3 linked regions of the Bombyx mori genome follow. The protein of the gene in region 3 purifies or fractionates together with the protein of the main gene of each other region. This does not show direct contact. Links are inferred from orthologs where the notes say so. Each region holds a gene or a part of one and is shown on either strand. Other genes may lie near its edges. The genes, in order: protein LSM14 homolog car-1, putative leucine-rich repeat-containing protein DDB_G0290503 and ATP-dependent RNA helicase me31b.

Region 1 (4,310 bases), on a different chromosome or scaffold from region 3:
CGGATTTTGTGAGACAAATAACTTTACTTCTCCGTTCAAAATCTGAGAATGCTAAATTAATGTTTTTTTTCCTTTTTAAAACATCTAGTGTGTATATTTCAGTGCTATATTGTGTCTATTTGTGTGACACAATGGCAGGGTATGTTCTTCATTGATGATTCAACCTCAAACAGATTTGTTTATTCTTGACCTGGATGTTTAATATCTACATATTATATCATCAATTTAAATTATCTTTGGTTCCCATGGTCCTAGTTTGGATCCACATAATATCCTTTACTGTGATTTTTGCCTTGATATTTGTTAGTTTCTAGACCAACCACACTGCATAGGATTACCAATTATATATACTATAACTTGATTGTTTTTTATTTATTTAAGACTGGTGTTTGTAATAAATAACTCACCTGAATGCTTTGGTCAGCTGTTGGACTTTTCCTATGAACACCGACAGCAGGTGTACCTGACCGAGATGCATTTTGTTGGGATCCTCCACCAATGAGGTCAAGCATTGAGCCTGTAATAATTGTTTCACACTAAAGCTTTTAATTAAATAGAATGTAATTTAAATATTAAAGCAAAGCTAGTTAATGAAGTCTATGCATATTGTGATGATTACACAGATTATGTAGATACAACAAATTACAAGTATACACAAACATTTTTACAAGTAACAGACCAAGGAGCAGAAGCTTTTAAAAGCAATTTTGTTATTTACATTGAAAATCATGGTAGACTTAAGGAATATAAAGGTTTAAATTTAACAATTAAATTAATATGCTATACTTATTGAACCATAAAACATTTATAAGCTCTCTGACGTTAATGCCAGACTATAAAAGGCCATTTAGAAAGTATGATCTACACAGTAGAACCTTTATGTAAAGTTTAGTTTTATTTAGAGAAGCATAGAACAATTCTTTTGAATAATTTGTTGACCTTATTAGTATTACTGTGTCACAATTTTGTTCACATCAAGATGCTACCAAAATTTATTATGTTAGCTACAGATGATATGCTTTGTGTTTATATAATAAGCAGTAATGTTGAAGCTCAAGCTGAATGCTCATTAAAAATAAACCTTGGTCTTTCACTTGGTTGGAGTGGTGGTTCACTCCAGAACCAATTGGAGCCGTTACAGGCTGAGCTTGTGATGCCAGTTCCACAGATTGTTGAGGAGACAACTCACTCGTCTTGTTGAGCTGGTTGTGAACTCCACTTGGAAAGCCAGCCATTGGATGATACTGAGGATATGGAGTTTGTCCAACAACTGGATGGTTAAACTGCCCCACATACTGCCCAGGAGCTGGTCCAGTACCCAGAGTTGGGGGTACAGACATCTGCATAATGGCAGGATCATTGGGCATTGAAGGAACATTATTTAGCACCCTGATATCCTTGATGTCAGAACCACGGAACAGAATGTAGTCATATACTTGGCTTTGAGGTGCTACCGGATATTGAGTCTCTCGATCCTCCGTGCCAAATGAACGCACTAAAAGAAAAAATACAATAGTTAGTAATCTGTTTTCTTTGAAAATTAACTATGACGTAAACTTTACACTATATACTATTATTTAATTTTTTTATATACATCTTCTTGTGCATTGTCCTGGTCTTCAACCGTGTATGTTGTTTTACCATAACCAATCATGATAAAACAACATACATATACTAATTCATTCCAACTATTATCAAATCATATCTAATCCATTTCTGTATCCACAATAGACATTTACTAATTTTTGAGGCATAATTATATTGCAAATAATGGTTACCCCATGGATATCAAGCTACGCATGCTAAATAACATATACAAGCCTGTAAATACACCATCAAGAGCTGTATAAGATGATTGGAAATGTATTTCATGCTTGACTTTTTTCAAGCTTCAATAACTACTAAACTTCAAGATTGATTTTGTAATAATTTTAAATTTACAACTATCAAATGTAAAAATAATTTTTCCATTTCAAATTATTCCCCTTTTCTGAATTATGATTAAAGCTCATGGGACTATGAAGAGAAAACCAACATATTTAAATTTTATATTATCTAGTATGGACCCATTACATGTTTTAGACTGTGCATTGTACAGTATATGTGGAAATGTAGCTCTCCAGAGGATAAAAGATGTATTGTTTAATTAATTTAAATTGAGTTACATACATTACATTTATAGTAGGTAGACCAAAATCAAATGACTAATATGAAACTTATTAGAAAATAGATTATCGGATATTTAATCTTACAAGAATTGAAGGTAGTTAGCATATGATTTTCAAGGTCAACGGTGTATATTCCAATATAACATTTTTTTTTATTAAATATAGCTAGTCATTCAGACGTTTCATACGACGTGTTCAATGTAACAATTGTTATATACGGTGTACGGCAAGAACAGTTTACAACGTCACCAATGTGTAAACGCAATCAAAGGCACATTTCTATTTCATTTAAAGAGGGTAGAAAAAAAAATGATGTCCTGCAAGAATCAACTTTTTATCTTATGACGATTTCTTCTATCTATAAAGTTTAATTTTCGTACAGGTGAACTTGGATCATACGGAGGGAAAATCTTAGCACTTTCTCGAGTACTTACGATTTCTGGCGAATTAATGATGAAACGCGGTGTTTTAGAGACATTACAATATTTCACGTTTACATTAACTGCAAACCAATAGTTTACATAAAAATTTAAAGAGAAAGAATCCATTTTTTAGCTTACCGCTAGCCAAGGCGATAGTACATTCCTGAGGATCGACAGTAAAAAGTCGGCCTTCGTAACGAATGTCAGCTTTCGATATTAGGCTTATTTTGGAGCCTAATTCAGGCATTCCAGAACTCATTATGTCACTTTGCTTGACCGATTTCGATGACAAAGATTTTCGACGATTTCAAAGACTGAAAAACTATCCACCGAATAAATCAGAACAAACAACAAAATGACTGACGGGAAGTTGGCAACAAGCGCAGCGTTTACAAACAGCCAGTGTTGCCGAATAAATTACAGACTCGCATAGTCTCACAGGCGATCCATAGATTATACACTACAATTTGCTGACTTCGCGCCATATTATATCATGTGGATTCAATTCACCCGAATTCGTGTTCACATTTCTTCGCTACCAGTAAAACGTTTGTAGTAGGTGTAGAAATTATAAGATCCAAAATTCACATTCACAGATCAAGAGTAGAACGGAAATTGAAGGTATAGATCACAGGTAAAAGTATACGACATTAAGTTAGTAGTTGTAAGCACTTATTAACTCCATGGCATACAAAAATATATAGATTTATAGGGTTTAAGTATTAGTAATAAACATAATTATAGGTATATTATAGGTATACCAATGCGCATATTGCTTATTTACACAGTTTTTAAGTATGTACCTACTTTAAATATATATAATTATCACTGACCATTATGTTTTTTCTGCAATTGGACTGGTAAAGGAGGAGTATCTAAAATTAAAAAAAAATTGAAAAGCGCTGGAAGAAATTGTTTAAGATGATACTATCATCTCGTTTTTACCATCGCACTTGCCGCCACTGGAGTAGAATTCATTCATACTACCTGGAGCCACTGTGTTCATCCACAGTGCGCTGCCAGAGATCTTTTCTGGCACGTACCCTCCGTCTTTGGAATGAGCTCTCCTCTACGGTGTTTCCCGAGCACTATGACATATCCTTCTTCAAGGCTTGTGGAGAGTACTCAACGGTAGGCAGCGGCTTGGATCTGCCCCTGGCATTGCTGAAGTCCATGAGTGACGGTAACCACTCACCATCAGGTGGGCCGTATGCTCGTCTACCTGCGAGGACAATAAAAAAAGTTAAGTAATTGTACTATTTTGCTAGGGCTTCTACAGGCTTAAGCTTAAAATAATGGTTAATGACTAACCATTTAGCATCTGTGAAAATGCTCAAGACTAAGTATGGGAATTAAAACAAAATCTCAAAAAGTGGCTTCTCTTCTTCCAAAAAGTTAATTGAATTCTCTGAATTCCCAATTAATCAACTTTAATTCAGTTTACCTCATTTCATTCAATTTTATCCTATAGTCTAGTTCTGATATTCAACTTATTTTTAATTTCGCTAACTTTTACTTTTTACATAACTAGCAAGACTTGATTTCAAATCATCATTAGCTCACACATATACACGGCTAGACATAAGCCAAGGTTCACCATAATGATCAGACTACCTGTATCTAACGGATTCCATAACAAAATTCCAACAGGTTGTCGATCCATCTTGTAAGGCCTGACCACACTGAATAAACGTTGTCCCAAAATAACATAAAGTTTTGG
Region 2 (4,204 bases), on a different chromosome or scaffold from region 3:
CTATAGATTACTTTATCTTTCGCATTTATTATGGCAAGATATGGTTTGACATACAACAATAACAAAATATATGGTTCCACACTTACATCCATGGCCGAATGTCTCATCGTTCAATGCATCGTATTCGTCCTCTGAGGGTTCTGCGCAACCTTCGTCGTCATTTAAGTTCTGAAATAAATAAAACTGTGTATCAAATACACTGGTTGAACTAGTTTTAGGACATCTTATTGTCGCTAGTTAATATACTAGTACTGCATTTCTAATGTTTAAGCCTTTTAGCTGGTCATTTGAATGAAATTGTAGATGCTCAACAATTTGTATCCGGAGTAGTAAAGTAAAAAAAAAAGAGCTTGTAGAGTGACTAGCAACAATTCATAATTATTTTAGATTATATTACGACATTAAAAACTTTATAACATAAGCGTTGATGTATCTTTCTTTTAATTACATGTTTGACTAAAAGAAACAAATACCATATGGTCCATGAATAGGGAAGCGAGCCAATGTTTAGACTAACTTCGAGTACAATATAATTTTTACATAATACTACTTTGAATTAGGAGTCACATATGAGATCAATGTTACAAAATTCATGAACTAGAACAATGAGATTCGAAAATGCAATAAAATGAAACATGCAAAACATTGCAAGGCTTCAAATGTCAACAATGAAATCAATGAGGTAGTCCTCTGTTATCACACATTGTCAAGTGAAGTCAATTAAATAAATCAATTTAGTCAACATTTGTGATATGAATATAAGAACAAAGGATTTTAATCTTAAACTCTTTAACCATTAACATATTATTGTTTTGGTTTTATCATTATTTATAGTATCCCCTTAATGGTTATATGTAATTAGGTGCAATTGTTAATTTAAATTTGTTTCAAATTGGATTTACCAACAATTTGAAGTGATATCAGATCAGTCTAAGAACGACTGTGACTTAAGTTAGCTGGTGGTAGGACGTCTTGTGAGTCTGCACGGGTAGATACCACCACCCTGCCTATTCTAGCCGTGAAGCAGCAATGCATTTCGGTTTGTACTGTACTGAGACCTTAGAACTTATATCTCGTGGTGGGTCGCGGCTAATGCGTTATAGATGTCTATGGGCTCCGGTATCCACTTGACACCAGGCAAGCCCAAGTTCAGGACTCTGGAATATGTGTGATCATGGCAGTCTCAAATGACAACTAATACTTTTCGATTATCTCTTCATGAAAACTAATTTTAATTTAAATCTCCATCTACAACCATCATCATAATATGCATTTATTTGAACATAGCTATTTTGTATTTTATTATTATGTAATAATGTATATTGAATATACTAAAGGATGTGTCATATGGAGCCATACCACACCATACAATGCTTACACACATTACATGTGTGCCAGATTTAAATGCAATTTCAGAAATAACAAAGTTATATTTACACTATGTATGTAGGTCACTGTTGCACTTTGACAGCAGATTTATCAGGTGAAGTTCATTCTCAAACAAAATAATACATTTCAAAAACAACAATATTCTATGGTTAGCACAGCATTTCTAGAAGATGGAGATGAACCCTGCCAGATGGTGATTTGGCAAATTTAAATTACTGGATCATTTAAAAAAAACATATGTGGCTACTTTCACTGCTACCTAAGCATGCTGGCTTCGAATACACTCTACAGCCCGCTACACGCTGGCTAATAAACATAGTCTACTGATATAACTGGTATAATACACTGAGGGATCACGGCTGCCTGTTCTCTGGTGAATCCCTTGGGACATCCAATATGAAGTCATTATGGTCTAAAAGATGACACCCGCTGTATTCATATTGCAGGATAAGACTGCAACGGTGTTCAAATCCCGCACACAAGTACAAATTTTTCTAATAAAATACATAGTTAAGGAACACTTCCAAGTTGAAAGAATAAATAAAACGAAAATCGCAAAAATATGATCTGTGCATTTACTGGCGGTACGATGTCTTATCAGTCCTCACGTTTGGTACTACCACTCTGCACGTTGCTGCCCAGAAAAAGTAATGCGTTGGTATGAAGGATGGGGCAGCTGTTGTATTGCAAGCGCGCGATTGTGCGACTTTCTTTTGAAAGAAAATATAAGGAACATTTTTCTGATTTGCACAGGCACTAACTACGCTTGGGCATGGAAAATGCGCCGGGCAATCAACATGGTAAGGTATTGCAAACTTTCCATTCTAGCTCCAAAAAATATTATAAAGTTTATATTGTGAAAAATATTATAAAGAACATTTTTCTGTTTTGCAGGTACGAAACTGTAAATCTTGATAACCCGCTGTTTTATTTCGAGTCAATAATAAAATTGTCGTGGTAAAGTGAAAGGTATTATAACAGTGATGATGAAAACTTTTCATAAAATGTAACATTTTGAATTTCACAACTTGCATCAATTTTGTTTTGATAACTTAATTGTTTTAATAAGGGCAAGTTTATGCTTCTTATTCACAATGAGTTCGTTAGATAAACAGCACTTAGGTAGAAATACAGTGGCATGTTTTTCTCAAAACTCAAAATTTTATATAAACAAAGCTATTATAGCTATTGGATTGACAGTTCGGTCAATGTTAAAATGTTAAAATTGGCGAATTTTCCGACTATTTTGATTATAAAACTTATAAGTTAGACAAATTATAAGTTGTATTTGTTTTAACAATTGTCTAAAAACTATTTAATGTGACTTTAAAGGATAAAAAAGCAAACATTTAGCTTAGAAACATAAGCATACTGAAGTGTGGCGTGTTGGCACTGATGCTTGCGCGCCTTTATTTGTAGCACTTTCTGCTACAATTTAACTTTTTATTTATCTAAGTCAGTTATTAGACTCACCGATAATGAAGTATCGAACCCAAAGAATGAATCTGCCATTGGATTTTTTCATAAATCTTGTACATAAATGTCATGACTTGTCACACACATATGTCGCAATGGCGGCCGCCGCCATGACAGTTGAGCGCGGATCATAGGTTATCACTAATGCATAGACTAATTACACTACATGCTGATAATGGAATAGATTTTCCGGATAGAACTACCGGTGGTTTGTTAAATATCATTGTGTTTAATATAAATAAACGTACTTACTAAAATCTCTAGACACAGTATTTAATTTTATCGCATTTTGTTTCATCCCAATTGATATTGATCGATAGAATCAACTTCGTTTTATTGAGTTCCTCTTCTCTTTTCAAATACCTACATAAAGAGCCAAGTTTAGTAATGTACTTTGTAATTGAAACTGTAATTTGAAAATAAAATTAACTATTGCTGGCAACAATGACATCAAAAATTCTCAAAATCCGATAGCTATATTTAAATAAAGAAAAAATTATGTTCCAAGTAACCTACTTTGTTTGTGTCATACAGTAACGCAGTGTAATGACAGTAGATTTACTGCAATTACTGCTTTTAGCGTCTATTGTATTGCAAAAATATAGTGTATACGAAACACTTTGACGCAATTTTTAAATTTGAAATTCATTAAACAAAACGCTCTATGTGACTTCCTTATGGCATGTATGCAATAATATGGAAATCCACTACAATTCTTTTAATTGAATGAATGATATCTCCGGGACTTTACTAGGTAATAGACTAAAGATTAATATTAAAATAATAATAATATTAAAATTATATTCGACAAAACAAAAATGTATCTGTAGATTGATCGTGTAATATTAGGGTTAATAATTCTGTGTAATTCATCGTCTATTCGTAATTTAGTTCCTTGTACACATCGGTCATATTATTTCATATTCTTGAGTTAATCAAAATATGTCTGCTTGCTTGTAATGTACCTATGTGAAAGTGCACAAATTTGGGAAAATAAAACAAAGCCGCTGGACGTAACTTCTCGGGATCCTCCAAAAAGTCCACTGAAAAAAATCTTAGTAAATGACTACCATTCTACTGAGATTATATTTCATCCCATTTCATTTCATTTAATTTCATCGCAGTTGATTAATGTCTCAAATTAATCATCTTCATTTCATTTCACTTCATAATATAATTTTTCATAAAAATATGAAATAAATTAAAATAAGACATGACTTAAAGGTCTCAGTTACCAGGTCATAAAATCCCTTCAAAAAAACTTATTAAGGTACAATGTGGCTCTGTAAATTTGGCCCCCTTTTTTTAATTTCGGATTTTTTTATTTTTAATTATTTGT
Region 3 (4,229 bases):
TTCCATGAGATTTATTTCATAAGGTTCTTTCAAATGCTTTTCCATAAATTGTTTTACACTCAGAGGGAAAGTTGCAGAAAACAGCAAGATTTGGCGTTCCTTAGGTAATCTAAAATCCATCAATAATGTTTTTAATTCACACACTGTATTTGAAATTATGAGATGGCACATGACATTTATTTTGAGAAGCACTATTTAGCATTTCTTGGTCACTGAATTTGTTACACATGAAACTAACAAACGCTAACCTTGAAATAACCATATCCAGCATGCCCTTAAAGTCTTGTGAAAGAAGTTTGTCTGCTTCATCAAGAACTAACATCCGGCATTGATCCATTTTGGCCACCTGCTTATCCATGAGATCAATCATACGCCCAGGTGTGGCAATAATCACTTGTACTAGAAATAAAGTGTATATTCCATGAATATTTTCTATTTTGAAATTATTTCCATTTCAATTTGTGTATCTATATTTACCATTTTGATAAATACGCATTATATCATCTCGAAGGTTTGTGCCTCCTGTAGTAACCATTACACGAATGTCTGTGTGTTTTGCCAGTTCAATACAAATCTGTGATGTTTGGAGTGCCAACTCTCTAGTTGGTACAACAATTAAAGCTTGTATAGTATCCTTTTTAGGATCAACCTAAAACAATTCACTCTTGTAATTTCAATAATTACACAGTCTTGTTTTAAAACATAGTTTTTTTTAATCAGTTCTGTTTTGTCTCACTTATAAAAAGTGAAGGGGAATCCAAATATTTCATCATACATTAAAAACATAAAAATGAAAACTATTGTTACATATAACAAATTACCTGTTCCAAAACTGGAATACAATAAGCACCAGTTTTACCAGTTCCATTCTTAGCTCTTGCAAGTACATCTTTTCCACTTAGGGCAATAGGAATTGAGGCCTCTTGAATAGGAGATGGCTTCTCCCATCCCTTTTCAAAAATACCCATCAACAATTCTCGCTTCAAACAAAACTCTTCAAACTCATTGCCTCTAGTATCTGTGACATCCTAGAAACGAAATTTGATTATTATGTCCACTATAATCTAAATATATTCTTAAAATGATGTATGATGATGATCTATAAGAATGATCAATCACAAATATGATCTAAAAAATGAAAAATCAATATTTTATATTTCCAATAATCAGAATATACCATTGGATTTATGAGATTGCATAATTAAATAAAGCTAACTATATATGCTGCTAAGTGTTTTGAAAAATCAATAAGGAATACCATCATTACTATGTGGGCATCAAGAACTGAGGTACTCTTTGATATTAATTACTATTAAGGCAGACAATAGAACTCACCTAATTCATTAATAGTGTAGCTTAAAGACACAAAATTCTTTTACAATAGGATTAATTTTATTACAACTGCATTATAGACATGTTATGATAAAAAAAATCCTAAATAAATACAAAATGTTTAAAGTAGTAATTAATGTAGCATTGGAGCTATTTAAACAGAATTGAATTCTGTTTGTCAACAATGTATTAGATTGGAGATTGTAAAGACAAAAATCACTTATAATTAAATCAACCAAATACTTTTTCTTTTACTTTAACAGAATAAAACAATTCAAGAACTATACTTCCCCATAAATTTTATTTTTGTTTGTTGTTTAAAAGCAAACAAGCAAGCTTGTTGGAAATTTAAATTTTCAGTGTATAACTGGATTATTCGTGTATAACAATAATGCAATTGTAGAATACCACAAAATGTTCTAAAGTTGTTTTTAAATTGTTATATTTTGACTGTCTAAATTCCAATGACTATTGTATGTGGGCCGTAATTTCTAGTAACTAAGCCAACTTACACTAGTCTTTATTCTTCTGTCTTTTGGGGGTATTTTTAATTTTGATTTCCAACCAACGTCGTCGATGCTTTTGTCGACCTCTCTGAAAAATGCGTTTACATGATTAGAATATTGCTTCGTGTGATTCTACATGCAGTTAGCATGACAAAGGACATTTTATTAAATTTATACTTACCCTTTAGTTTGACTGATACTATTTCCGACGTGATTACTTGAACTAATTCTATTTTCGGTCATCATTTTGCCAAATTTATCCCTAGCTAGGGACGACTAAAATTAGAAACTTATAATCACACTAATTATTATTTGTCCAAGTCCAACACTAAATAAATTCTCTAAATCACTTTTAGACACGTATATTAGTCAGTTTATCACGTTCACCAAGTATTTCAGAATAGCTGAAACAAGAGGAACATATTTTTATATTAGATAAGTATATTAGAAAACCCGTTTCGGTCTTTTGAAAACGAAGATTACGAGACGCGTCAACAAGCTATATGACAAAGTAAATAAATCCCGTTATGAAGTGATTACTCGATAAGTTATTAGAACTAATAATGAGCTCAGTATATAGAAGTATTATAATAAATTAATGTTTACCAAAAGTTAAATGAAAAGGAGAGATTGAAAAGATAACAAAAGATTGTAAACTGAACTCAGTTATGTTTTTTTAATATGGCCGCCATCGCTTCGTTTAATTTTACTTTGTTTGTGAGGAAAAGACCTAAAAATTAATAAACTAAAACACTTCCAACTTTGAGATTAATACTGTTATAAAATATTGTTGTTAATTACCTAGATAAAAATTTAAAAAAGGTGACGACACTCGATACTCAACGACGACATCACAAGAGTTTACTCAACCAAAGACAATAATACACTTTTATTTTCTATTTCTGTATGTTGCTTGTTGCCTATGTTGGCTCCCTTGATTTCTTGAAAATATTTAAAACCATAAACATTTTTCTGGTCTATCTATTGTGTCCACCTAGTAAAAAGAACGTTACCTACACAAGACTTTCTTTAGAGTGTTTCTAAGCTTTAAATGGAAAAGTGCGATGAAATTAGAAATTATGTCTTCAGTATAATCATCAAATTATAGGAATTCGTAAAAAATCTAATTAATTTTTTTAACATAACCAGCTATTTCAATGCTGATGCACTTTCTCAGGCATTATTATGTTTTTATTCCACTAGTACAACAGCAAAATTATAAATTGACTAAATAAAACAGTTTTCAATTCACTGGTGGTATGGCGTATTATAAGCTCACAGGTGTCCTAAGTACTACCCAACTTATTTCTGGCACGAAAAGTTATGCCTTTTGACATGGAAGGTAAACTCAAGACTAGAATCTCGAGGTTTAATAATTTAGTGCTTCGTCGTGTTTAAGCGTTTAATAATGACATATTACAATTCAACATTTGTAAAAGTGTAAACAGTCTTTCACTTTAAAAAGTCCATTGAACTCTCAATAAATTCCTGCCATTTCACTGAGAGGTTATTTTTCATTTTACACAATAGCCACGCTATTTTTCAATCATACCTCATTTTACTCCATTTCATTTCATTCTAGAATGATTACATTTTTTTTACTTTGGTGGGAGGACGAACTCACGGCCCACCTTGTGTTAAGTGATTACCGGAGCCCATAGACATAGTCAACGTACATATAACCACCTACCTCAAGATATGAGTCCTAAGGTCTCATTTATTACAGTATGACTGCTCCACCTTTCAAACCGAAACGCATAGCTTTTTCACGACAGAAATAAGCAAGGTAGTGATACCTACCCGTGTAGACTCACAAGAACTACCTACCACTAGTAAAACCCACCGGTAGTAAACCCACCCAAACATTTTACTCTCAAACACAAAAAGCACTGTTTCCGCCTTTGAGTGAACTTGCGGGATTTGCTTTATTTTGCCTATTTAGTGTTTCTTCGGGCTTAAATGCGTAATAACGGTGGTTTACTAACTGCTTAGTATTTGTGAAAGTGCACAAATGTAGGAAAATAAAACAAAGCCTATGGACATAACTTCTCGGGATCCTCCAAAAAGTCCACTGAAATAGTTTCAGTAAATGGCCACCATTTTACTGAGATGTATATTTCATCCCATATCATCTCATCTCATCTCATTTCATTTCATTTCATTTCATGTTTCATATTAATTAATTAACTTCATTTTATTTCACTTCATATTATCATTTTTCATCTATTAAAATATATATATAAAGAATTAGGTTGTATGGTATGACACATTTGCCTTTTCATTTGGAAAAATAAAACTACTGTCACTGTCAATGTCTTATTGTCAATTGTCATAACATAGTACAAAAGTATGTTAAGATAGTGGTTAAGTTACATAGACCTATATAGTAGG

What was found.
Region 1: the proteins of ATP-dependent RNA helicase me31b (region 3) and protein LSM14 homolog car-1 purify together in Drosophila melanogaster (affinity purification with western blotting; 6 studies listed by BioGRID, with this or other methods). This does not show direct contact. The link is inferred for Bombyx mori from reciprocal best matches to the Drosophila melanogaster genes me31B and tral.
Region 2: the proteins of ATP-dependent RNA helicase me31b (region 3) and putative leucine-rich repeat-containing protein DDB_G0290503 purify together in Drosophila melanogaster (affinity purification with western blotting; 5 studies listed by BioGRID). This does not show direct contact. The link is inferred for Bombyx mori from reciprocal best matches to the Drosophila melanogaster genes me31B and Patr-1.

The regions. Positions count from the first base shown.
Region 1 is NC_085117.1:9,020,418-9,024,727, reverse strand, and holds the start of protein LSM14 homolog car-1, read right to left. Parts: upstream 3,033-4,310; 5' UTR 2,850-3,032; coding exon 2,729-2,849; intron 1,496-2,728; coding exon 1,082-1,495; intron 518-1,081; coding exon 408-517; intron 1-407.
Region 2 is NC_085129.1:17,684,451-17,688,654, forward strand, and holds the start of putative leucine-rich repeat-containing protein DDB_G0290503, read right to left. Parts: upstream 3,021-4,204; 5' UTR 2,902-3,020; coding exon 2,863-2,901; intron 169-2,862; coding exon 87-168; intron 1-86.
Region 3 is NC_085118.1:10,825,160-10,829,388, reverse strand, and holds the start of ATP-dependent RNA helicase me31b, read right to left. Parts: upstream 2,801-4,229; 5' UTR 2,640-2,800; exon of another isoform or gene 2,445-2,639; intron 2,243-2,444; 5' UTR 2,085-2,242; coding exon 2,020-2,084; intron 1,927-2,019; coding exon 1,845-1,926; intron 1,029-1,844; coding exon 822-1,028; intron 650-821; coding exon 478-649; intron 400-477; coding exon 249-399; intron 110-248; coding exon 1-109. UniProt on the Drosophila melanogaster protein: ATP-dependent RNA helicase which is a core component of a variety of ribonucleoprotein complexes (RNPs) that play critical roles in translational repression and mRNA decapping during embryogenesis, oogenesis, neurogenesis and neurotransmission.